Rattus norvegicus: one gene and its partners. The protein of the gene in region 1 interacts with the protein of each later gene in a pairwise test. Links are inferred from orthologs where the notes say so. Each region holds a gene or a part of one and is shown in the gene's direction. Other genes may lie near its edges. The genes, in order: Wwp2, Arrdc1, Entrep1, Hnrnpul1, Pdlim7 and Ankrd44.

What was found.
Region 2: the proteins of Wwp2 (region 1) and Arrdc1 interact in binary tests that used the Homo sapiens proteins (3 or more experiments, as listed by UniProt). The link is inferred for Rattus norvegicus from reciprocal best matches to the Homo sapiens genes WWP2 and ARRDC1.
Region 3: the proteins of Wwp2 (region 1) and Entrep1 interact in binary tests that used the Homo sapiens proteins (3 or more experiments, as listed by UniProt). The link is inferred for Rattus norvegicus from reciprocal best matches to the Homo sapiens genes WWP2 and ENTREP1.
Region 4: the proteins of Wwp2 (region 1) and Hnrnpul1 interact in binary tests that used the Homo sapiens proteins (3 or more experiments, as listed by UniProt). The link is inferred for Rattus norvegicus from reciprocal best matches to the Homo sapiens genes WWP2 and HNRNPUL1.
Region 5: the proteins of Wwp2 (region 1) and Pdlim7 interact in binary tests that used the Homo sapiens proteins (3 or more experiments, as listed by UniProt). The link is inferred for Rattus norvegicus from reciprocal best matches to the Homo sapiens genes WWP2 and PDLIM7.
Region 6: the proteins of Wwp2 (region 1) and Ankrd44 interact in binary tests that used the Homo sapiens proteins (3 or more experiments, as listed by UniProt). The two-hybrid records come from large-scale screens. The link is inferred for Rattus norvegicus from reciprocal best matches to the Homo sapiens genes WWP2 and ANKRD44.

Annotation. Positions count from the first base shown.
Region 1 is NC_086037.1:52,273,563-52,277,062, forward strand, and holds part of Wwp2 (NEDD4-like E3 ubiquitin-protein ligase WWP2), read left to right. Parts: intron 1-2,793; coding exon 2,794-2,941; intron 2,942-3,235; coding exon 3,236-3,357; intron 3,358-3,500. UniProt on the Homo sapiens protein: E3 ubiquitin-protein ligase which accepts ubiquitin from an E2 ubiquitin-conjugating enzyme in the form of a thioester and then directly transfers the ubiquitin to targeted substrates.
Region 2 is NC_086021.1:28,132,690-28,134,968, reverse strand, and holds the end of Arrdc1 (arrestin domain-containing protein 1), read left to right. Parts: intron 1-88; coding exon 89-243; intron 244-394; coding exon 395-577; intron 578-673; coding exon 674-850; coding exon of another isoform or gene 851-928; coding exon 929-1,367; intron 1,368-1,448; coding exon 1,449-1,519; 3' UTR 1,520-1,779; downstream 1,780-2,279. UniProt on the Homo sapiens protein: Functions as an adapter recruiting ubiquitin-protein ligases to their specific substrates. Through an ubiquitination-dependent mechanism plays for instance a role in the incorporation of SLC11A2 into extracellular vesicles.
Region 3 is NC_086019.1:231,027,811-231,031,310, reverse strand, and holds part of Entrep1 (endosomal transmembrane epsin interactor 1), read left to right. Parts: intron 1-997; coding exon 998-1,105; intron 1,106-1,249; coding exon 1,250-1,383; intron 1,384-3,500. UniProt on the Homo sapiens protein: Functions as an activator of the E3 ubiquitin protein ligase ITCH in the ubiquitination of the CXCL12-activated CXCR4 receptor. Thereby, triggers CXCR4 endocytosis and desensitization, negatively regulating the CXCL12/CXCR4 signaling pathway.
Region 4 is NC_086019.1:90,369,871-90,373,370, reverse strand, and holds part of Hnrnpul1 (heterogeneous nuclear ribonucleoprotein U-like protein 1), read left to right. Parts: intron 1-3,292; coding exon 3,293-3,500.
Region 5 is NC_086035.1:9,132,808-9,136,307, forward strand, and holds part of Pdlim7 (PDZ and LIM domain protein 7), read left to right. Parts: intron 1-1,466; coding exon 1,467-1,618; intron 1,619-1,701; coding exon 1,702-1,732; intron 1,733-2,166; coding exon 2,167-2,285; intron 2,286-2,646; coding exon of another isoform or gene 2,647-2,667; intron 2,668-2,916; coding exon 2,917-3,053; intron 3,054-3,174; coding exon 3,175-3,211; intron 3,212-3,396; coding exon of another isoform or gene 3,397-3,493; exon of another isoform or gene 3,494-3,500. UniProt on the Homo sapiens protein: May function as a scaffold on which the coordinated assembly of proteins can occur. May play a role as an adapter that, via its PDZ domain, localizes LIM-binding proteins to actin filaments of both skeletal muscle and nonmuscle tissues.
Region 6 is NC_086027.1:63,919,141-63,923,221, reverse strand, and holds the start of Ankrd44 (serine/threonine-protein phosphatase 6 regulatory ankyrin repeat subunit B), read left to right. Parts: upstream 1-1,281; 5' UTR 1,282-1,463; coding exon 1,464-1,490; intron 1,491-4,081. UniProt on the Homo sapiens protein: Putative regulatory subunit of protein phosphatase 6 (PP6) that may be involved in the recognition of phosphoprotein substrates.

The DNA of each region.
Region 1 (3,500 bases):
ACCAACAAACCAACCAAACCAAACCAAACCAGGGAAAAAGCTAGAGTACAGACACCCAAACTAAACCCAAATCAGAACAAAATGAAAGGCCTGTCCTGATAGCGCTGAGAGAATTGACTGGGGGGAGTGAGTGCTGGTTCCTGCCTCAGACCTGCCGTTTACTGACGCTGATTTCAGAGAAGCTAATTCAGCTCCCTGAAACTTAGATGACCCAGCTGTGAAATACAGACTTGGAATTTCAATTTCTCCCCTAGATTTTTTAGGTATGCGTGTGTTCCTGCATATGTGTATGCTTATTACACATATGTTTGCTACATGCATGCATGGTACCTGTGGAGACTGGAAGAGCATCAGTCCCTGAAACTGGAACTCCAGATGCTTGTGAGCTGCTTTGTGGGTGTTGGATTCAGGTCTCCCACAAGAGCGATAAGTGCTCATAACCACTGAGCCATCTCTCCAGACCCCTTTTTTGAGACAGGGTCTCACTATGTAGTCCTGCTGAGCTAGCCAGAAACTCACTGTGTAGACCAGACTGACTTTGAACTCACAGAAATCCACAGTGCTCTGTCTCCTGCGTTCCAAAACTAAAGGTGTATGCTGCCAGGCCTGGCAGGGACTTGTTGATTTCTAAGGAAATTGTTTAGGGCGGATTAAAACATGGTCCTGTTTAAGGTAAGGTGTGCAGTGCTCCTATCTCATCACTAGATGGCGTCAGCTAGCCTTGCTGTACATGCAAAGTGGTACATTTTCCACTTAAGTCTAATGTCTGTGACAAACCTTTATTCTCAGCCCCATCCCTGTTGCTTGACTCTTAGCCCCCCAATTTTTTTCTTTTGTTTCTTGATTTCTTCCCTACTGTAGCATTTGGGTTTTGGAGTAACTACTGCTTCAAAGAACCCAGCGGGTGATGTCCTTTGTCAAGTTGTAGACCTTTGTAGGACTTGCCACCTCCCTAAAGGATCTGGGAAGGAGCCTAACTTCCCAGATGGGGTGGTTAGTCTTGTTATCGGGGGTGGTGTGTATGAGAAACATCAGTTCTATCCTCTGATTTGGGCACAGGGTGGACAGTATCTAGATGTGTTCCCTCTAATAGCCCTGGAAGTCCCACTGTTTGTCATGAATGTCATGGGATAGGTATCCCATGGAAGGTGATGTTTGTTGGCTTATGCTCCATGGGTTCTTACCAGTTAGTGATGCATGACTATGACAAGTGCTGCTGTATGCTAGGAATGGTGCTATCTGCCTGTAATCTCAGTACCAGGGACACAGAAGCCGGTTTTGGCTGAGTAGTAGGTTCAAGTCAGCCTGTGCTGCACGGCAAGATGCTGCTGCTTAGAACTAGGAAAGAAACCAAACTAAACAAAAAGGAGAGTGAAAGGAGAGAGGGAGCGAGGGAAAGAGAGGAAGAGAGAGAGACAGAGAGACAGAGAGACAGAGTCACATGAGGGCTGTAAACGGAACAAGTAGTACAGGTAGCTGACCACCGTGGAGTATGTTCAGCCTTACTGCTCCATGGAGAAAAGCAGCAGAGGGGATAAGCCTGGGAATAGTATACAGCTGGGATGGAGTCAGGCTGGGGGACACATGCTGGTTCACAGCTCCCTCTTTATATAACTGGAGAGGTGAACCTCACTCCTCCCCCCCAACACCCCATACTCCTGTCCCAGGCAGACCTAAAACTCACTCTGTAGCCCAGGGTGGACTTTTGAAATTAAGGTGAGCCTCCTGTCTCGACCTCTCGAGTCAGTGGGATTACCGGCATGAGTGACTTTGTCTGGCTTTTTTGTTTTGAGTTTTAAGAGTTTCTCTGTCTGGCCTGGAACGCCTCATGTAGACCAGGCCATCTTTGAACTTGCAGCACTCGTGTTCTTCCTCAGCTGCTGGGATTGCAGGTATATGTCCCCATCCTAGCCTCAGTGACCTCCTGGGTACAGTCAGGGAGACAGTACATCTCCACTTCATGAGTTGTGGGGCTGCATATGGTGCATGCCTTGCAGTGTCTGTGGTAACTGTTGGTTGAATCTTAGTGATTATCTTTAGGCTATTTTTTTTTAATGGCTTGCAAAAAGTGAGGAAACAGCACTCTACTTTGCAGTGTGGCCAAATGAAGATACTCAGAAGCAGTGCAGGAAGTCCCTGAGGGCTTCCAGGACCCTGGAGCTCTCAAACCTTAAAGGAGGCTCAGCTGCTCTTAGGAGCCATGTTTGTGCTAACTGTCCCAGAGCAAAGAACTGTAAGCAGTTGTCTCAACAATGTAAAAGTTAACACAGCCATGCAGTGGACTTTGTGATAATCGTTTAAAAGTTGATTTGTGGAGACGGGTACAGGCCATTGGGCAAAGCACTTTTCTGTCTCATGTGCTTTTAGGGTGGGAGTGATCTTGCTTTATAGTTCAGGGTGTTTTGTACACTCGTACTTTTTGTTTCTTGTTTGGTCTATACCCTTTCTTCTTGTTCTAAAAAATTGGTTTTGTACATGTGTGTTTGTGTGCACATGATGCTTTGGTCAGTGGTCTATCTTGGGTGTTATTACTCAGGCACTGGCCTTTTATGTGGGCTCTGGGGATGAAAATGAGGTTGTCTAGTGTTTACAGCGAACATTGTTCTGACAGAGCTCTCACAGTGTAATTTCTCAAAAGGTTTTTTTTTTTTTTTTTTTTTTTAAAGAGGACAAAGCAAAACAGCAACAAAAAAGATCTTTTGAAAGGAAATAACCAAAAGGAGCCAGACTATCTGCCCAAGCAGCATATGGGAGTCCTTTAAGTCATCTGCCCTTTCCTTCTGTCTCATCCAGTGGTGTCAGCAAAGCCCAAGGTGCACAACCGCCAGCCCAGAATCAACTCCTATGTGGAGGTGGCAGTGGATGGACTCCCCAGTGAGACCAAGAAGACTGGGAAGCGCATCGGGAGCTCTGAGCTTCTCTGGAATGAAGTCATCGTTCTGTAAGGGTGTCTGCCACTTTTCGAATGCAGGAGGTGGGGGAGAGGAGGCTGGGGCAGTGCCCTCCACTGCCCTTGGCCCCCATGGTGCTCCTCTTTAGGTGTGTGTGTGTGTCATCGAGCTCACAGAGCTCTCATTGTTAGCTAGGGTTACAGGTCAGCGTGTGAGGTGTGTGTGTGACTGTGTCCTGTTTTGTCCCTGTGAGATGTCAGCAGGGTAGCTTTTAGCATTCTGTTCATGTTAAAGGGCGCCTGGCTCATCTCGGGGCTGTGATGAATCACTTATTTGTTTTCCAGGAATGTTACAGCCCAGAGTCATTTAGATTTGAAGGTCTGGAGCTGTCATACCTTGAGGAATGAACTACTGGGCACTGCCTCTGTCAACCTCTCCAATGTCCTGAAGAACAATGGCGGCAAAAGTATGTATGATTCATCTCTAGTCAGGGAAGATATGGCAACCAGACCAGAGGTTGAGTGTTGCTCTGCCCCTTAGAGACCATCTATGGAGCTTGAGGAAGGCAGAGTTCAGCATGCTTGGTCCAGGGCTGTAGGATACAGGACT
Region 2 (2,279 bases), on another chromosome or scaffold:
GTGAGTGGAAAGCTTATGGGGACATGGAGCTTTGAAATGCCACTGGTGGGAGGTGCTGGGTGCCAGCCAATCCCTATTATCCCCACAGCCACAGCACCCACATCTTTCGAGGGCCCCTTTGGGAAGATTGTGCACCAGGTGAGGGCGTCCATCGACACTCCACGTTTTTCCAAGGATCACAAATGCAGCCTCGTGTTCTACATCCTGAGCCCCTTGAACCTGAACAGCATCCCAGATATCGAGGTAAGGACGGAACAGGGGCTTCCTTGGCTGCCTTCGGCCTTCTCAGGCCAGGCAGCCAGGCCCTGTCTTAATCTGGTTGCTGGTGTCTAGGGCAGTCTGAGGGTCTTGTCTGTGCTCGCTTGATAAACTCTTCCCTTCCTTTCCCTTCAAGCAACCCAATGTGGCCTCTACTACCAAGAAGTTCTCCTATAAGCTGGTGAAGACCGGCAGTGTGGTTCTCACAGCTAGCACGGACCTTCGTGGCTATGTGGTAGGACAGGTGCTGCGGCTGCAGGCTGACATTGAGAACCAGTCGGGCAAGGACACCAGCCCTGTGGTGGCCAGCTTGCTACAGGTCAGAGCCATCTGGTTCCCTGAGCCTGTCCCTTTCCCATGGGACAGAAGGGGTGGGTGCCAGCCTGCCCAAACTCACAGCCCAGTCTTTCCTCAGAAGGTGTCCTATAAGGCCAAGCGCTGGATCTATGATGTGCGGACCATTGCAGAGGTGGAGGGCACAGGTGTCAAGGCCTGGAGGCATGCTCAGTGGCAAGAACAGATCCTGGTGCCTGCCCTGCCCCAGTCAGCCCTGCCTGGCTGCAGCCTTATCCACATCGACTATTACCTTCAGGTTTGGTGTTGCCCAGGGCTGGGTGGCCTAAGGCTAGGTGGCCTTGGCCTTACTCTTCAATACCTACGTTTTTTTCAGGTCTCCATGAAAGCACCCGAGGCCACCGTGACTCTCCCACTATTTGTTGGCAATATTGCTGTGAACCAAACTCCACTGAGCCCCTGTCCAGGCCCAGGGTCTTCTCCTGGGCTGCTGTCCCCAGTGGTGCCCTCTGCACCTCCTCAGGAAGAGGCTGAGGCAGTGGCTAGTGGCCCTCACTTCTCAGACCCTGTCTCACTCTCCACCAAGAGCCATTCTCAGCAGCAGCCACTGTCTACTACATTGGGTTCTGTGTCTGTCACCACCATTGAGCCGTGTGTTCAGGTTGGAAGTCCTGCTAGACATTCTCTGCACCCTCCCTTGTGCATCTCTATAGGTGCCACTGTCCCCTACTTTGCAGAAGGCTCTGGGGGCCCAGTACCTACCACCAGCGCCTTGATCCTTCCTCCAGAGTACAGTTCATGGGGCTACCCCTATGGTGAGTGGAAATGACAGGGATTGGGGTGAAAAAATGAGGGTCCCCTGAACCCCTTCTATATCCTTTTTTTCCTCCCCACAGAGGCTCCACCATCCTATGAGCAGAGCTGTGGTGCTGGTGGTACAGATGTTGGCCTGATCCCAGGGAGCTGACCCTGGTATGCTAACCCATGCCACCTTGTTTGGTGGTTCTGGCCTTTGCCCTGGCATGGGATGCCCAGGGCCTCGTGCCTTTGCTCTCTACCTGGCCCAGCTACTCAGGACCTGCAGCTGTCGGGGGAAGACCCCCCTGTGGACCAGCCACTCTTGGCTCCTCTGGAATGAATTATTCAGTCCTCTTCTTGAGAGGTTGGGGTAGGGCGGCAGAGATCTGGGGCCTGGAGAGACTGTATAAATAAAGCGCTTTATTTGTAGAGCTGGGCAAGTGGCTGGCCTTCTCACCCTACAGTCTAGCCTTAAGGTGGCCCCATTGTACAAGCTCTGCCCTGAAGACTGAAACCCTGAAAGCTCCTCATTCGATCCCTACATTTGATAGAGCTCATCCCCTTACCACATCCTTGGGCTTTTCCCCTGGCCCACCCGATCCTACCTTGAACTCTACTTCCAGCCCATTCCTCACTTCATTGGTGCCCTGCCTCTGGACTCTTCTACAGTGCCAGGCATGCAACCTGGATAGTGCTGGACTGCCCACTTCTGTCCTCTTCCTTTTTAAAGAATGCCTAAGGATATTCCTGGCATTCTTTGGGACATACTGTGACTTGCATTCCAAACTATTGTTCCAGGAAGCCCCTTGGTAGAACCCTCTACTCTTGGGCATGGGGTCACTGTCAGCCCTGAGCACTGTGCCTTTCCTTATTTCTCGTTGTTGTACACACAAGATCTTGGGCCCCAGAATAAGAATAAAAGACAACAG
Region 3 (3,500 bases), on another chromosome or scaffold:
GTCCATGGCAACCTTCAGTGTTGACTTAACTGCTATTTTGAGGAAAGAAGACCTATTTATTCCCTGGTTGCTCCTGGTTCCACACTACTGCCTGTGGCTCCCGAAACAGAAGCAGTGGCCATATGTTAAGCAGATGCCATCGTGCGGGGAAGTGCTGTCCCTTGAGGGGGCACTGACTAGAGAAGAGTCTCACTGGTCTTCTGGAGGGAACTCTATAGATAGTGTTCAGATGTTGTAAGAAGAAAGTGCCTCTGTGTCCTTGGGAAATTGGCTCTAGCATCCCTGAGGATACTGAACTCTGTCACACCCAAGCCCCTTCCACATGACGACATAGGATTGCACAAAACCTTCACACACTCCTCTATGGTTGAGCCAATGTAGATGCAGTACCTGGTGCAATGCACTTTGCAAGTAGTTGTTAATATCATTTAAGAAAGAAAAATGATAGGAAAAGGACCAGCCCGTGCTCAGCAGTCTTGGGTTTTTCTTTTGAGTGTTTTCCATTTTGGCTTGGTTGACTCTGAGAAGGTGAACCCGTGGATATGGAGGTCTGACTGCCCTGTATGTAACACTGGGCCTCTCCTCTGTGAGGCAGGGAGCTGGCTGGGTATGTGTTTTTTGAATCTGAGTTTGGCTCTGATGGAACTCAGGTGCTCCCGCCTCCAGCCCTCAGGGTGCTAGGGTTATAGGTGTGTCACATGACATCTAGTCTAGGCTGTTTTTGTTTTTGTTTAGGAAGTTTGACTGTATTACCATCCCAGGTTTGAATTTATGATCCTCCCGCCTCAGTCTTCAAAGTAGCTGGAATTATAAAGGTTTTAGAGTAAGAAATCTACATTCTGGTTGGGGGTTATAATAGCCAGCATGTATTTCCGCACGTCCATAAGCCAGACGCTATGTAACCCCCTGCCCTTATCCACTCGGAAGCTTGCCAGTTTGGACAGCATTGCCATCGATGTGTTTTACACATCTCTCTGATCAGTGGTCTCGTTTCCAGAAAGTCCTGTTTGCCCTGTGTGCCTTGAATGCCCTGACCACCACGGTGTGTTTGGTGGCTGCTGCCCTGCGCTACCTCCAGATCTTCGCCAGCAGAAGGCCGTGCATTGTAAGTGTGAGGAAACACTTGTGAAGCGTTTTGACCTCGCAGTCCATCCCTACTGTGTGTGGAAGCACTGTGCGGAGTTTCCACCTTGCTGTCCGTGCCTCCCTTGTGATCTATTGCTTTCCTCCTGCTGTGCTGTTTAATCAGGACGAATCCCAGATCTCTGCAGAGGAAGTGGAAGAGCCCGGGCGGATTCCGGACCCAGATGACTTTGTGCCGCCAGTGCCTCCTCCTTCTTACTTTGCCACGTTTTACTCCTGCACACCTCGGATGAACCGCAGGTAAAACTCCTAAGTCTCACTGGGGTCTCCATGGTATGCCCTGCCTTGACACTTGTGTGGTCTCCACTTTTTTTTTCCTCCAAATTCCGGGAAGATTGTCCTATCCAGTTAGCTCTCTTTCCCTGTCTTCTTGTTTCTCTCTGATCAACCAGATGACTCCAAAGATCAGTCCAACCCGGACCTAGAGATAAACCTTTTCAATTTCTTTTAGCTTCCTCGGGGAAAACTGACACCCAGTGAGATAACAGCTGTAATTTGACAGTATTGGGAGTTTCTGTTGTCCTGGAAACACCCACAGTTAGGCAGAATCAGTGTTTCATTATAACGCCATGAGCAGGTCCCAACAGTCGAGACATTCTTTGCAGTCACCAAGACAAAATTAATTACTAATTGATTCTTTCTGGCTTAGGGGGGAAAATGGGCACCGTACTTAATTTTCCTTTTCAAATTCCAGCTCGAATTTTGACTATTTTCCTTAAGTTTCAGAAATTATTGTTTGTAGGGTGGAGTATGTATTCATCCGGTTGTTAGTAATACCTAGAATTGAATCTTTAAAGAGTGATCTCATTTATTCCTCCAGCAAACATTACCAATCTTCTTCTGCTTGCTTGGTGCTGTGCTGGGTTACAGAAATCCAAAGTGAGTTAGTCCTGCTTCCTCTGTTCCAATCAGGAGCTCAGTGTAGACCGCCAACATGAGTGTTAGGACCATAGTACTCAATGTCCAGAGGTCTCCCAAGCCCAGAAGAGCCAACTAGGTCACCCAGTCAGCTTTGGCATCCTTAGAGAAGTGACTTTATGCTGAGTTTAAAGGTTAAACCCCCAAAGGAAAAAATCTCTGGGGTCTAAGGGAAGATTAGCATCTTTAGCTTGATATCTGGGATCGAGCATGTGTAGTTTTGGACTTCTGTAGTACATGCAGAATCATCAGACAGATGTGGTACAGATGTGGGGCTCTTGGAAAAATACTTTCTGGTGTTCGGGACAGCTATGCATGCTTTTGAAATAGGATCCACGTAGGCTTTGCTCATGTTTTTTTGAATCTTACCTGACCCCTCCTGTAACACCTACCCGGGCAGAGGCAGACATGGCTATAAAGCCAAGGGAGGGGGTGTCAGCCAGGTGAACACATTATCTTGGGACAGCAAGGCTTTTCTTTGTTTGGGGAGGGGCCTGCTGACATTGTAGAGCCTCAGGGGTAAGGATGGAGTGATTCGGATCCTTTCAGAAGCTGAGAGGAGGGTGGCGGATGCTGAAGAGGGTTGTTAGTAAAGCACATGCTCTCTGTGGGCTGTCTCTGGGCTTTAAACCTCCCAAGCGGATACTTCTCCATTACCAGGGCCAAGTCATAAAGGATCCCAGAGAAAATAACTTGCAGACAAATAACAATCCTGTTCATTTCTGTCTTAGTCAGAGTTCTATTGATGCAAAGAGACACCATGACCATGGCAACTCTTATAAAGGAAAGCATTTAATCGAGGCTGGCTTATAGTTCAGTACACTGTCATCGTGGTGGGAGACATGGTGACAGGTAGACAGGCCCTGGAGAAGTAGCTGAGAGTTCTACATCTGAATCTGCCAAGTGTCAGGAAGAGAGAGAGCTACTGGGCCTTGAAACCTTAAAGCCCACCCCTAGTGACACACCCACTCCAACAAGGTAACACCTCCTAATCCCTCCCAAGTAGTTCCACTCCTGATAACTAAGCATTCAGACATACAAGCCTACAGCAGGCAGGCGTTCCTAGTCAAACCACCATGGTCTCCATAAGCTCTTATTTGCCTAAGTGATGCATGATAACAAGGGGCTTACCCAAGGTGGTGTCCATCAAAATGCAGCATCAGTGGACATCCTAATGGCATAATGACACCACAGGAATCATTCATTTTGTGATCGTGTTGTGTAAAATGCCATCTTTAATTTCAGGGTTTCCTTCTAGAAGAGGTTTTTGTGGTAGTTTAGCATCTGAGATGAGAGCTCACTGTCCTGACCTTTTCATCCTTGGAAATCCAGTGCCTTCCAAAGAGAGCTGATGGGTTGGGAATGTCAGAGAGCAGACAGGCAAGGAGAGCTGGGGATAGTGATGCCCTGGGCAAGGGACTCAGCACTCCTCTGCCTCT
Region 4 (3,500 bases), on another chromosome or scaffold:
TGTTTGCTGGTACAGAGAGAGTAATAGCAAAGGACATAGTCGCTATTTTTGCCACTTGCCGGGGTTACTCGGACGACTTTATGGCCCTGATGTGGACCCGCTTCCCCACAAGAATTCTCATGGACTATATATGTAATATTCCTACATTAACTTCTGGTTGTAATTGGGTGTGAGCATATGCATGTGTACATTAGTTCCTTTCCACTTTCTTTTTTTTAAGACGGGTTTCACTGCGGAGTCTAGGTTGGCCTCAAACTAAGAGATTCCCCTGCCTCCGTTTCCCAACTACTAGAATTAAAAGCATATGCCAACATACTGGCAGTCCACCTTACTTTTCTGAGACAGTCAGTCTCCCATTGAACCTAGAGCTCATCACTGGCAAAGCTAGCTGGTCAGCAAGCTCTAGAGGTCTTGCTGTCTCCTCCTTGGCTCCTATAGGTTACCAGGGCCTGCCATCGCACCTGCTGCCCACCTGGGGCCTGGCTCTGCAAACTTGGGTCCTCAAGCTTCGTAGATAGCACTTTACTTGCTAACTCATCAGCTCTGTATTTTCAAATGCTGATGACTAGCTAACCCTAGGATTTACTCTAAGAAGTTGAAGTTGACGGTATATTGGCTTTTATCCTGTGTCAGCTAGATCGTTTCCACTTTGTTTAAAGATTTCGAAGGAGTTTTTTTTGCTTTTAGCTTATTAAAAGTTTATTTTTTAAGATTTATTTGTCTTTTATGTATATAATGTATATAAGTCATCTCATGTGAATGAATATGTGGACTTAACGTCCCCTGGAGGCCAGAAGAGAATCACCTGGAACTGGAGTCACAAGAGTTTGTAAGGTGCTGTGTGGTTACTGGGAACTGAACCTGTGTTCTGCAAGAAAAGCAAGTCCTCATAACCACTGAGTCATCTTTCTGGGCCCAGATTTATTTTATTTCATGTTTATGTGTGGTGTTTGGCCTTCATGTGTGTACATCCTGTGCATACATGTAGTACCTATGGAGGCCAGAACAGGACGTTGGATCCTCTGGAACTGGAGTTTGCAGCTAACATGGAAGTAAAGGGAATTGAACGCAGGTCAGTGTAGGTCACCCAGGTCCTCTTTTCTTTCTTTTCCTCTTTTTCTTCTTCTTCTTGAGACAGGGTCTCCCTACATAGACCTGGGTAGCCTAGAGCTAATATGTACACCGGTATGCCTCGGATTCACAGAGATCTATCAGCCTCTGCCTTGATTTCAAACTCGCTTTGTAGCTGAAGATGACCTTGATTTCCTGATCCTCTCCCTCTCGAGTACTGGGGTTGCAGGTGTGAGCCACTATACCAGCAGGGAGCTCTGTTGAAAAGGTCACACACACTCGTGGTTGTGAACATGTGCTTTCCTGTGCATCCTTCTCTCCTTAACATTCATACTTAAACCTGTAGTCAAACTTGTTGAACAAAATCTAGCTCTGGTTTAAAGAAAGATTCCACATACGGTTCCTTTTTGTCAGAGCTTGTCATTACTTTAAAGCGGGTTCACAGCAGGGGTTTGAGGGGTATAAAGATCAGTATCTGGGGAAACAGAACATATTTGTAAGATCTCAAGTCCTCAACTGACGAAGAGAAAGGACCGAGTGGCAAGCAGGTGGTCCATGTCAACACTAAGAAGTAGAGTCACTGCAGCCTAGAGGACAGCAGAGAGGGCTGCCCAAAGTCCTGCCTCAGACAGATGGCTGTGTGGGTACACTGATTAGCAGTGGGTGCTGCTTTCTTTATATTGGGGTGGTTCTTCTAATAAAGCTGGTGCCCAGGGCAGGTGACCCCCAAAGTAGTCATTTCCATGCCAGAACAATGGTGCTACTTGTCCCCGTGTGGGAAGACAACAGCAGATACTGTACTATGTGCAGAAGTCTGCTGGAGTTATGTTGGCCTGTCTGCTGAGCATGGTCATTACCGTGATGTGTAAGGTGGCAACTGGCATGAAGGATGCTGATAGAAGACTGGGGAGCACCTCAGAAAAGGCACCTCAAGCACTCCTTGCATACATATACATATATATATTTTTTTCCCCTCATTCTATAACTTTGTGTCAGAAACTAGAACTTGTGCTCTGTTGAAGCTGCTGCCTCATCCTGAGTTTTGAAGCTTTGGCAGGCTCTGCTCCTGACTTGACAAGTCAGTGTTCTGCTTCATTGCCAGCAATGGTTCTAAACTTTAGCAGAACTTGGAGAGCCTTTTATACCCTAAGGTGAAGCCATGGCTCCTCCCCCATCATGCCAGCCCCAGCCCCAGCCCCAGCCCTCTACATTTTGGTTTTTTGAGACAGGTTTTCTTTGTGTAGCCCTGACTATCCTGGAACTATCTGTAGACCAGGCTGGCCTCAAACTCACAGAGATCCTCCTACCTCTGCCTCCCAAATGCTGAGATTACAGGTGTGCAACACTACCATCTGGCCATAGAGAAACAAGATCAATTAATTAGCTTTAGGTCATAAAATAGGATCCACTATAACTGGAGAAACTCAGTAAACAAATGAATGAGCCCTTGCGAGCATGTCCGAGATGCCTTTTGTGTGTCAAGGCACCTGACCTGTATTCTCTTATCTCAAGGTTTGTGTGTGCGCATGACTCATTTCCATTCATTGGTCAGGACCTAACTTACACATTCCCTCCAGGAAATGCAGGGGTATTTTTACTGAATTACAGTATTGAGATTCCTTGTTTGATTCTCCATTGACCATGAATCCCATGGGATCCACATAGACATGTACTGGGATGCACTCGTGTGAGCACTCTAGGAATGTGTGTAGAATAAACAAGGGGCGCACTTGTTCCCACCCTCTGGGAGCACTGCACTCAGCTATGGGAAGCTCCTGCTCTGGCTTCTCTATCTCGGTGTCTCCTCCCTGTCAGTTTGGGGACCAGGCGAGTCTGCCTGTGTCTTCATTGCGAGTCTGCCTGTGTCTTCATCTTTGTCTCAGCTTAAGCACAAGACTCAGATATGTGTCACCAGCTTTCAGATCTTGAGTAAGAAAGAATTTGGGTAAAATGTCTCTGAGCTTTTCCTGGTGCTGTCTAACTTGTGTGTATACCAAGAGAGAATGCCCTGGGTTCCAGAAAAAATGACCATTTTACTCCCTGAATTAAGTCTCACACGTGTGGCTCTTGTTGCCTTTGATTAAGGTTACAGTTAGTGTTTCTTAAGGTTTCATGTATCCTGACCTGGTCTGAAGTTTATGTTCCTCTGCCTCAGCCTTCCAGATACTGAGATGATGGGTGTCCACCATGACAGCAGCTCACCCTTGGCTTTCTCTCCTAGGACTTCGAATGTGGGAATGATGTGGAGCTTTCTTTTACCAAGAATGGCAAGTGGATGGGCATTGCCTTCCGAATCCAGAAAGAAGCTTTAGGGGGTCAGGCCCTCTACCCTCACGTCCTGGTGAAGAATTGTGCTGTGGAATTTAACTTTGGGCAGAGAGCAGAGCCCTACTGTTCTATTCTCCCAGGGTTCACATTCATCCAGCACC
Region 5 (3,500 bases), on another chromosome or scaffold:
GGTCGCAGTGAAATAAAGGTGAGAGGGTGCATGCAGACCCCAAACTTAGCCATGGAATGAGGGGGTGTCTTTTCGGACACTGTCTACCCTTGAGCTGTCAGTCCTTCTGCCTAGCCTGCCAGTGTTGGCATTACAAGTATACCTTGCCTGGCACCCCAGAGTCTTTTTTTTTTTCTTCCCCCGAATTTGATTTAATTAACTAGTTTTATTAGTTTTTGAGGCAGGGTCTCTCTGTGTAGTCTTGGCTGTTCTGGAATTCACTATGCAGACCAGGCTGGCTTCCAACTCACAGAAATCCACCTGCCTCTGCTTCTGCCTCCGCAGTGCTGGGTGTATGCCACCACAGCTAGCTATCCCAGCATCGTGATTGGGTGCGCTTGACCCCTCTCTTGTGCCCTATTGTAGTGGAGCCTCCCAGTCAGGACCAAATCCTGGCTGCACCTCTTGCTGGCTGGGTGACTGGGTTCAGGTGTTTGGCAGGTCTGGTTTTTGGTTTTTTTTTTTTCTGAGCGTGAGCAGGGTGTATCCCTAGATCCCCTGCAAGTGTGTTGGAAGATGTTACGTCAGTCCTAGGTGTTCTGTGAGTTGCTATTCTTACCGTGTGCTAGCAGGTAAAGAGGGCTCTGACTCACCAGCTCTCTCCTCTGCTAACCTCCCCTTCAGGCACAAAATAAAGCTGTCGAGTCCAGCTCCCCCTTCTGTCCTAGAGTTGGCAGTCTCTGCGGGAGGTCCCTCTGTCCCTGGCACCTCTAGAACCTCTCGTCTTCTGTCTGTCTGCTTCAGTACACATTGATTAGCTCACCCGAGGAGCCTCCTGGGCCCTTGGGCGTCCTACGCCCTGCTTCTCCTACTACCTGCTAAGTGTAAATGCTCTGCGTGGTACCAGATGGTCCAGTGGCCCTGCGGTTTCAGACCTGTGGAGAACCACCATGCCCCCAATCCTTTTGGCTTTGAGTTGGGAATTTCTGGTTCGTGTGGCAAATAGGGGAACATAGTAGGCCTGGTGGAATGACGGCCACCAGAACTGGCTGATTGCTGGTAAGCAGTGAGCCTTGGTCACCAAAAGTAAAAAATTAAGATAAAAATAAAGGAATGTGGAGCCCTGCGAGCGAAAGGGTGTGGGGTGGGGATCAGGGGTTGGCCTTGATGTGGGGGTGGGGAGCGGTAGCAGTTCCCAGATAGGAGATGGGACACTTCACAGGATATAGGTGACCCCAATCAACCCTGTTAGGCCTTCATAGCCCAGTTTCAGCAACACAGGTAGGTGGCTGTCTGGGGAGGGCAATCTGGTGGGTCAAACAGCCTCTAGAGAGACCTCAGAAAACACAGCTGTCAAGGCTGTGGTCCTAGCCTGCAGGTATGGGCTCTAGCCTGAAGGTGGCTGTTTATCAGCAGTGTCTGGACCGTGAGGGAGCTTGTGCAGCTTGGGTGTGCACCCCTGGGCCTCTGACCATTCCTTTCCACAGCTCACTCCTGGAGGCAAGGCCGCACAGGCCGGTGTGGCCGTGGGAGACTGGGTACTGAGTATCGACGGTGAGAACGCCGGAAGCCTCACACACATTGAAGCCCAGAACAAGATCCGTGCCTGTGGGGAGCGCCTCAGCCTGGGTCTTAGCAGGTACAGGTGCTGATAGGCCCAAGGGGTGAGCACAGCCTCTGGTCTCACTTACAGGCCATGACCACTTTTCTCTCCTTCTCCAGAGCCCAGCCTGCTCAGAGCAAACCACAGAAGGTAGGTTATACCAGAGATACCCTGGCTGAGAAAGGGAGGGACTTGGATTGGGCTGGCCTGCTCTCCGTGGCCCAGCCTTGGCTAAGAACAGAGGGCAGATGCCAGAACAGGCAGGGTCTGGGGAACGGGAGAGTGGAGCTAGGAGCTGCCGCACGGTCCGGGCTCCTCACGTGCCTGCCTGTCTGTCTGCCTGCTTCTTCCCATAAGCCTGTGCTGTGTGCGCCTACCCGCCCTCGGTCCCCCTGACCCAGAGTGGGTTGAATTCATCACTTCCAAATGGGCCCCTTGAATTCACAGTCACCCCTTCATCTTAGCCTCTGGCCAGATGTGTAAGAGTGGGGCCGGACCTGTCACTGTTCTTGGTGGTGGTGACAACTCCGCTCCCACCTTGGCCCCCACTCCCACCCACCCTGCCCGGCTCTGTCTCTGCCCAGGCCCTGACCCCTCCCGCCGACCCCCCGAGGTACACTTTTGCACCAAGCGCCTCCCTCAACAAGACGGCCCGGCCCTTCGGGGCACCCCCACCTACTGACAGCGCCCTGTCGCAGAATGGGTATGTCAGCCCCTGCCCACTCACTCCTGCCTCTTGTGCACAGGTCTAGTCCTTTCGCAAGCGCACACACAAGCTGCCCGCTACTGCTCAGTCTGTGCCGGACCCCAGCCCCTTAACCGTGTGGCAGCAATCCCTGGCAGCTGGGTGGGGCTTCAGGAAGAGAGCCCTGCCCAAGGCTGATGCTCTTCCACAGGCTCTGCCCTCCTGGGCAGCCTGGGGTTGGGGTGTGGTGTTGGACCTGCCAAGTCTCACACACTCATTGCTACCTTGCCTCCCTGTCCACTGCTCTGATTTCCCCCCACCCGTCTTTCTTCTCCTGTGTCTGTCCCTTTATTTGTCTATCTGTCTATTTCCTTCGCAGGTGCAGACCCCTGACAAGTCAGTGAGCCCCCTCTTCCTGTCACTTTTCTCCCTTTTGGCACTCTGGGTGGTGGCGCCTCCCTGCCCTGCCTGTCCTCCTGCCCACTCTGATTTACCCACCCACCCAGCCAAGCCCTTTGCCTTACCCCCCTTCTTCCCCCACCCCCACCCCGCCTCTCAGCTGTCACCGTAACCCATGCACATCACATCCTGGGAGGGGCAGCCCCTGGTGCCCACAGAACCAGGGGTTCTGAGCTCTACCCTTCCATAGACAGCTGCTCAGACAGCTGGTCCCTGATGCCAGCAAGCAGCGGCTGATGGAGAATACTGAAGACTGGCGCCCGCGGCCAGGGACAGGCCAGTCCCGTTCCTTCCGCATCCTTGCTCACCTCACGGGCACAGAGTTCAGTAAGTGCTGGCCTGGGTCTGGGCGGACTCTCCTGGTCTTAGCCTGGGCCTGACCTTGCCAGGACTCAAGGCTGGGGTAGCCTTCATTTCTCTTGGTCAATGCCTGCCTCTGTCCTCTCAGTGCAAGACCCGGATGAGGAATTCATGAAGAAGTCAAGGTAAAAGCTTGGGCGCTTTCCCTAACCTCCCGATTCTTCCTTTCCGGCCACCAGTCCTTGTCTACTCCTGGCCATCCCCTGCCAGAGCTCTCTTCTGTCCCTTCCTCATTTCCTTCCCTCCTTCCTCCCTTCCGTCTCTCCTTCCTTTCACTTCCTCCTCCTCTCTCTCTCTCTCTGCCCCTCAGGGAAAAGTATGTCCTGGAGCTACAGAGCCCACGCTATACACGTCTCCGGGACTGGCACCACCAGCGCTCTGCCCACGTGCTCAACGTGCAGTCCTAGCCTGGCC
Region 6 (4,081 bases), on another chromosome or scaffold:
TATCTGAGTGTCCTTTGAGAGTAGGCACCTGTCTTACTTAGGGTTTCTATTGTGACAAAAACGTGACCAAAAAACAACTTGAGCAAGAGTTGTTTGTTTGTTTTTTCTGCCTCCACTTCCACAGCACAGTTCATCCCTAAAGGAAACCAGGGCAGGAACTCAAGGCAGGAACCTGGAAGCAGGCACTGAAGCACATGCCAGGGGGATGTGCTACTTACCCGCTTGGTGCTCATGGCCTGCTCAGCCTGCTCTATTACAGGGTGACACAGCTCACAGTGAGCTGAGCCCACCCACATTAATCCTTAATTAAGAAAATGCCCCCTCAGCTTGCCCACAGGTCAATCTGGTGGGAGCGTTTAAAAAAAAAAAAACAAAAAACAAAAAAACAACTAAGGTTCCCTCTTCTCATGACTGTAGCCTGTTTCAAGCAGCGGTAAAAGCTAACCAGCACAGTATCTTACCCGCTTATGCCCCATCTCTCCATGCCCAGCCACTGCCTGAATTTATAAGTGCTTTCCCAGATCACAGAAATATCAGCACTTACTATGGGTTGCTACCGCTGTATTAGAAGCCTGGTCTGTTAGACAGCTGTCTTCTGTGTGTGGAAGGTGCGAGTGGGCAGCATGCAATTTACAATCGTGTAGGAATAAACCAGCTAGGACTTATTTAGTGCGGTAATTTAGGACTTTTTTTTTTTTTTTCCTTCTCAGTTCCATCTCCAACCCCAAGCCTAGGCTACCAAGTTAGGATAGTGTGTGGTTTAACTAGGAGGTGGATCAAAGCCCTGGTTCCTTCCACTGCTATGTGGTGGAAGCCCTGGAGTCACGACGCGTCCAAGGCCTCCTTATATTAAACAAAGAGATTGTCAGCCCTGCGCCCAGGTGGCAGAAATTCGGAGCTCTGGAGCAATCTGATTTGGGAAGAGGTTTAGGGAAAGGGGGTGTGACGCAGTCTGCAAGGTGAAAGTTGGCGGCGTGTGAGTGGCAAGCTTTCTGGACCCCTGGGGTGTGTCTGCGAGGGCTTGCCGGTCAGTGGCGTGCGCGCGGGTGGGATTGCTGGGGAGAGTCGGCGTCAGCCCCCCCTCCCCTTTCGGCTGGCTCCTGGCGGAGCGGGGTGCAGGTGCGGGAGGGCGCCGGGGCCGCGGGCTGCGAGGAGCCGCCGCGGGCGGCAGGAGGCAGCGTCGGCCCGGGCGGCGCGAGGCAGCGCGCGGTGATGTCAGTGGCGGCCCGGCTGGCAGCGGCCGGCACTTCCTGTATAAAGGCGGGCGGGCCGGGCTGCGACTCCCGCGAGCCGGGGCTGGGCTCTGGGAGGCAGGCGGCAGCGGCCGAGCGGTGGCAGGGCTGTCACCTTCGCGAGCCCAGCTCCTGGCGCTTCCCCGGGCCGTCCCTTCCGTTTCTCCGGGCTCCCGGCGTTGACATCTACGAAGCGGAGAGCTGTATGTGCGCGCGCGCGGGAACGGAAGAATGGCAGTGCTCAAACTCTGCGATCAGGTAGGGGCGCGGGGCGCGGAGAAGGGGGCGCGGCGGGCGCCGAGCGAGCGGTGCGCGCCCCGGGCTGTTTACGCGCAGCCTTTGAGCGTGCACGGCCTGCCTCGGGGCTTGGCTCCCGCGCAGTCTCCGCCCTGGACCGTCGCAAGTGCGCGTTCGCGGCCGGAGAGGGTCGGCGGGGTGCGGGAGTGGCCGCCGGGCGCGGGTCGCCGCCGCACCGGGAAAGGGGAGACTCGGGCTGTGTCGTGCACTCAGGAGCAGTCAGCTTGGGGGTCCTCGGGGGAAGGCTCCCTGAGGTCAGGGGGAGGAAGGTGGACGGCGGGAGAGAGGATCGCAGCCCCTCTGCCCCGGACCTCTCCCGCGCCAGGCTAGAGGCTGGCCGATCCCCGCTCCGGTGCAAAAGCCTGCCTTCATCGGTTGGATAGAACACCCCGACTTCCTCTTTAGTTGCCCAGGGGCTGGGTGTGGGGTGTGGGATTGGGGGTGCTGAGAGACGCGCGTTCTCGGCCCAGGTCTCCGAGTAGGAGATGGGAGTCAGGTCCCGGACTGAGCTCGTAGACGCTGGTGCCCATGAGCTTTGTTGCTTTTCTGACTGAGACATCACACCGGGCAGCCTGGAGTTTGGCTTGAAGGAATGGGATTATGTATTGAATCTGATTGACAGTCTTTACCACATATCTAGATATTGACACTCACGGAAGTTCAACTTAATTGTGTGAAACAAAACCAAACCAAACCTCTTCACAGCTCTTTACAAGGGGGAAAGACGAAGCTTTATTCATGTCCCGATTTATTCATCCACACTGACATGAACATTGTTTTGGGGGCCTGATAAGCAGCGTGGCGATCTTGACTTTGATATATGGTATCAAACAGTCCAGCCCCCTCTATCAAACACCTCAAACTTCTTAATAGGATGCATCTGGTGTCTTGCTAGTTAGAATTCAGCCAGAATGTTTTGCAACTTAAGTGCAACCTTTGCAATAGTGAGCCACAATGGTTTGTTTTGCCCCTTTAGATTAAATTTAGTTCAGCTTGCTTTTACCTTAAGTATTCACAGCCCCCCTTTCTTCCCTTCCCTGCCTTGGTTCAGAAATCACTGAGTTTAAAACTCTGTTAAATTTAGCAGGGAGAGCAGCTGTTAATTGTGTGACCCTGCCCCTCCTCGTTGGCCACTGAGCATTTAAAATGCTTGTAAATTGATATTAGGATTTTCTCTACCCTTTGTTCCCAATTTTTGCCAACTGTTAGACATCTGCTTATTTTAAGTCTTACGTTGTCTTGTGTCCAGAGTCCTGTCAACGTTGATGGTACACATTTCTCTACTTTGTTAATTCCTAAGTCTGCAGAGTACAGTGTGGTTCTAGTAGGCATTGCTATGTTATTACATATGAAAGAATTCTGTGTAGAATTTTACTTAGAAAGATGCTAATCATTTACCCTGAATTCCTTATTTTCTAAGTAAAAAAAATCAGCTGACTGGGAAAATCAAGCAAATCTTCCTCAAGATCCTCAGTGTTGACTGGTGGTGTCCACCTCCCAGGCCGCTATCGGAGCCTTGAGATATGTCTCTCCTTCCTTTCAGCAGATGTGTTAAAGTAGGGTATGAGAAGGAGCTTTCTCCTCAGGTACATCAGCCTGGGTGAGGAGTGTACCACTGGGCTCTGCAGCCCAGGAAATTATTCTCTGGCTTCTCAGAGCAAGGCTTTTTCAAAGATGTTTGTCGTTGGGAATCTTTCTAAGTTACACCCACTTTGTTCCCCCAGTAAACTCCACTTGCCCCTGGGGAGAAAGGGGTTAAAACCTTCATTTGACTCCATCTCCTGACATATAGAAAGAGCCAAGGAGTTCTGTGATCCAGGAACACCCAAAAACCACCAGTCTATCCTGGGACAAAGCCAGAGGAAGATGGGGTGTGGTGGTGGTAGGGCGGGGTGAGGTGCAGTGGTGAGCAGAGATGGTTTCTGTGTTTCTTTAGGCCCAGGAAGTGTACTCTTCTTGCCTTATATAGTCTTACTTTGTGTTTGAATCTTACTTCTTAGAAGTTGGCTCTTAACCTCAGGTACTCATGCTAACAACCTGTGGATTAAACTCCTCCTAGAAGAGCTTTGTCCCATCACTGTGGGCGGGGAGCCACCTGCATGGAATTGCCTGCTTCAGTCTGAGCTGGGGCCACCTGCTCCTTCCTCAGGGATGCTGTGGCCATCCCGGCCTCACTCTTCTGGTCCCTTCAATGTCCATTTTGTAAGGCGAATCTCCACTTTTGGCTACAGCTCTTTGATTTTTGGTTTGAGGACACATTCCGGCTGCTGATAACTTGGATGTAGTCGAAGCGAGAGGTTATCATCAATGACTTTTTCTGTCCCCTGACACTGAAGGCTGGAACTGGCTGGGTGGCTGTGGTTATATCACTTTGGCAGCCAGTTCAACAGTGACCTCTGGGTCCAGCAAGAGAAGGGTTACGATTTTTTTTTTCTAACTTGTTTTGGGAGAATTAAAAAGTTAAGGGGGAAGGGAGAGGCTGCTGTGGTTTTCAGTCTTCTACTGTGAAAAGGAACTGGGAGCTTGTGCTGCGAACAAGCTTGACACTTAGC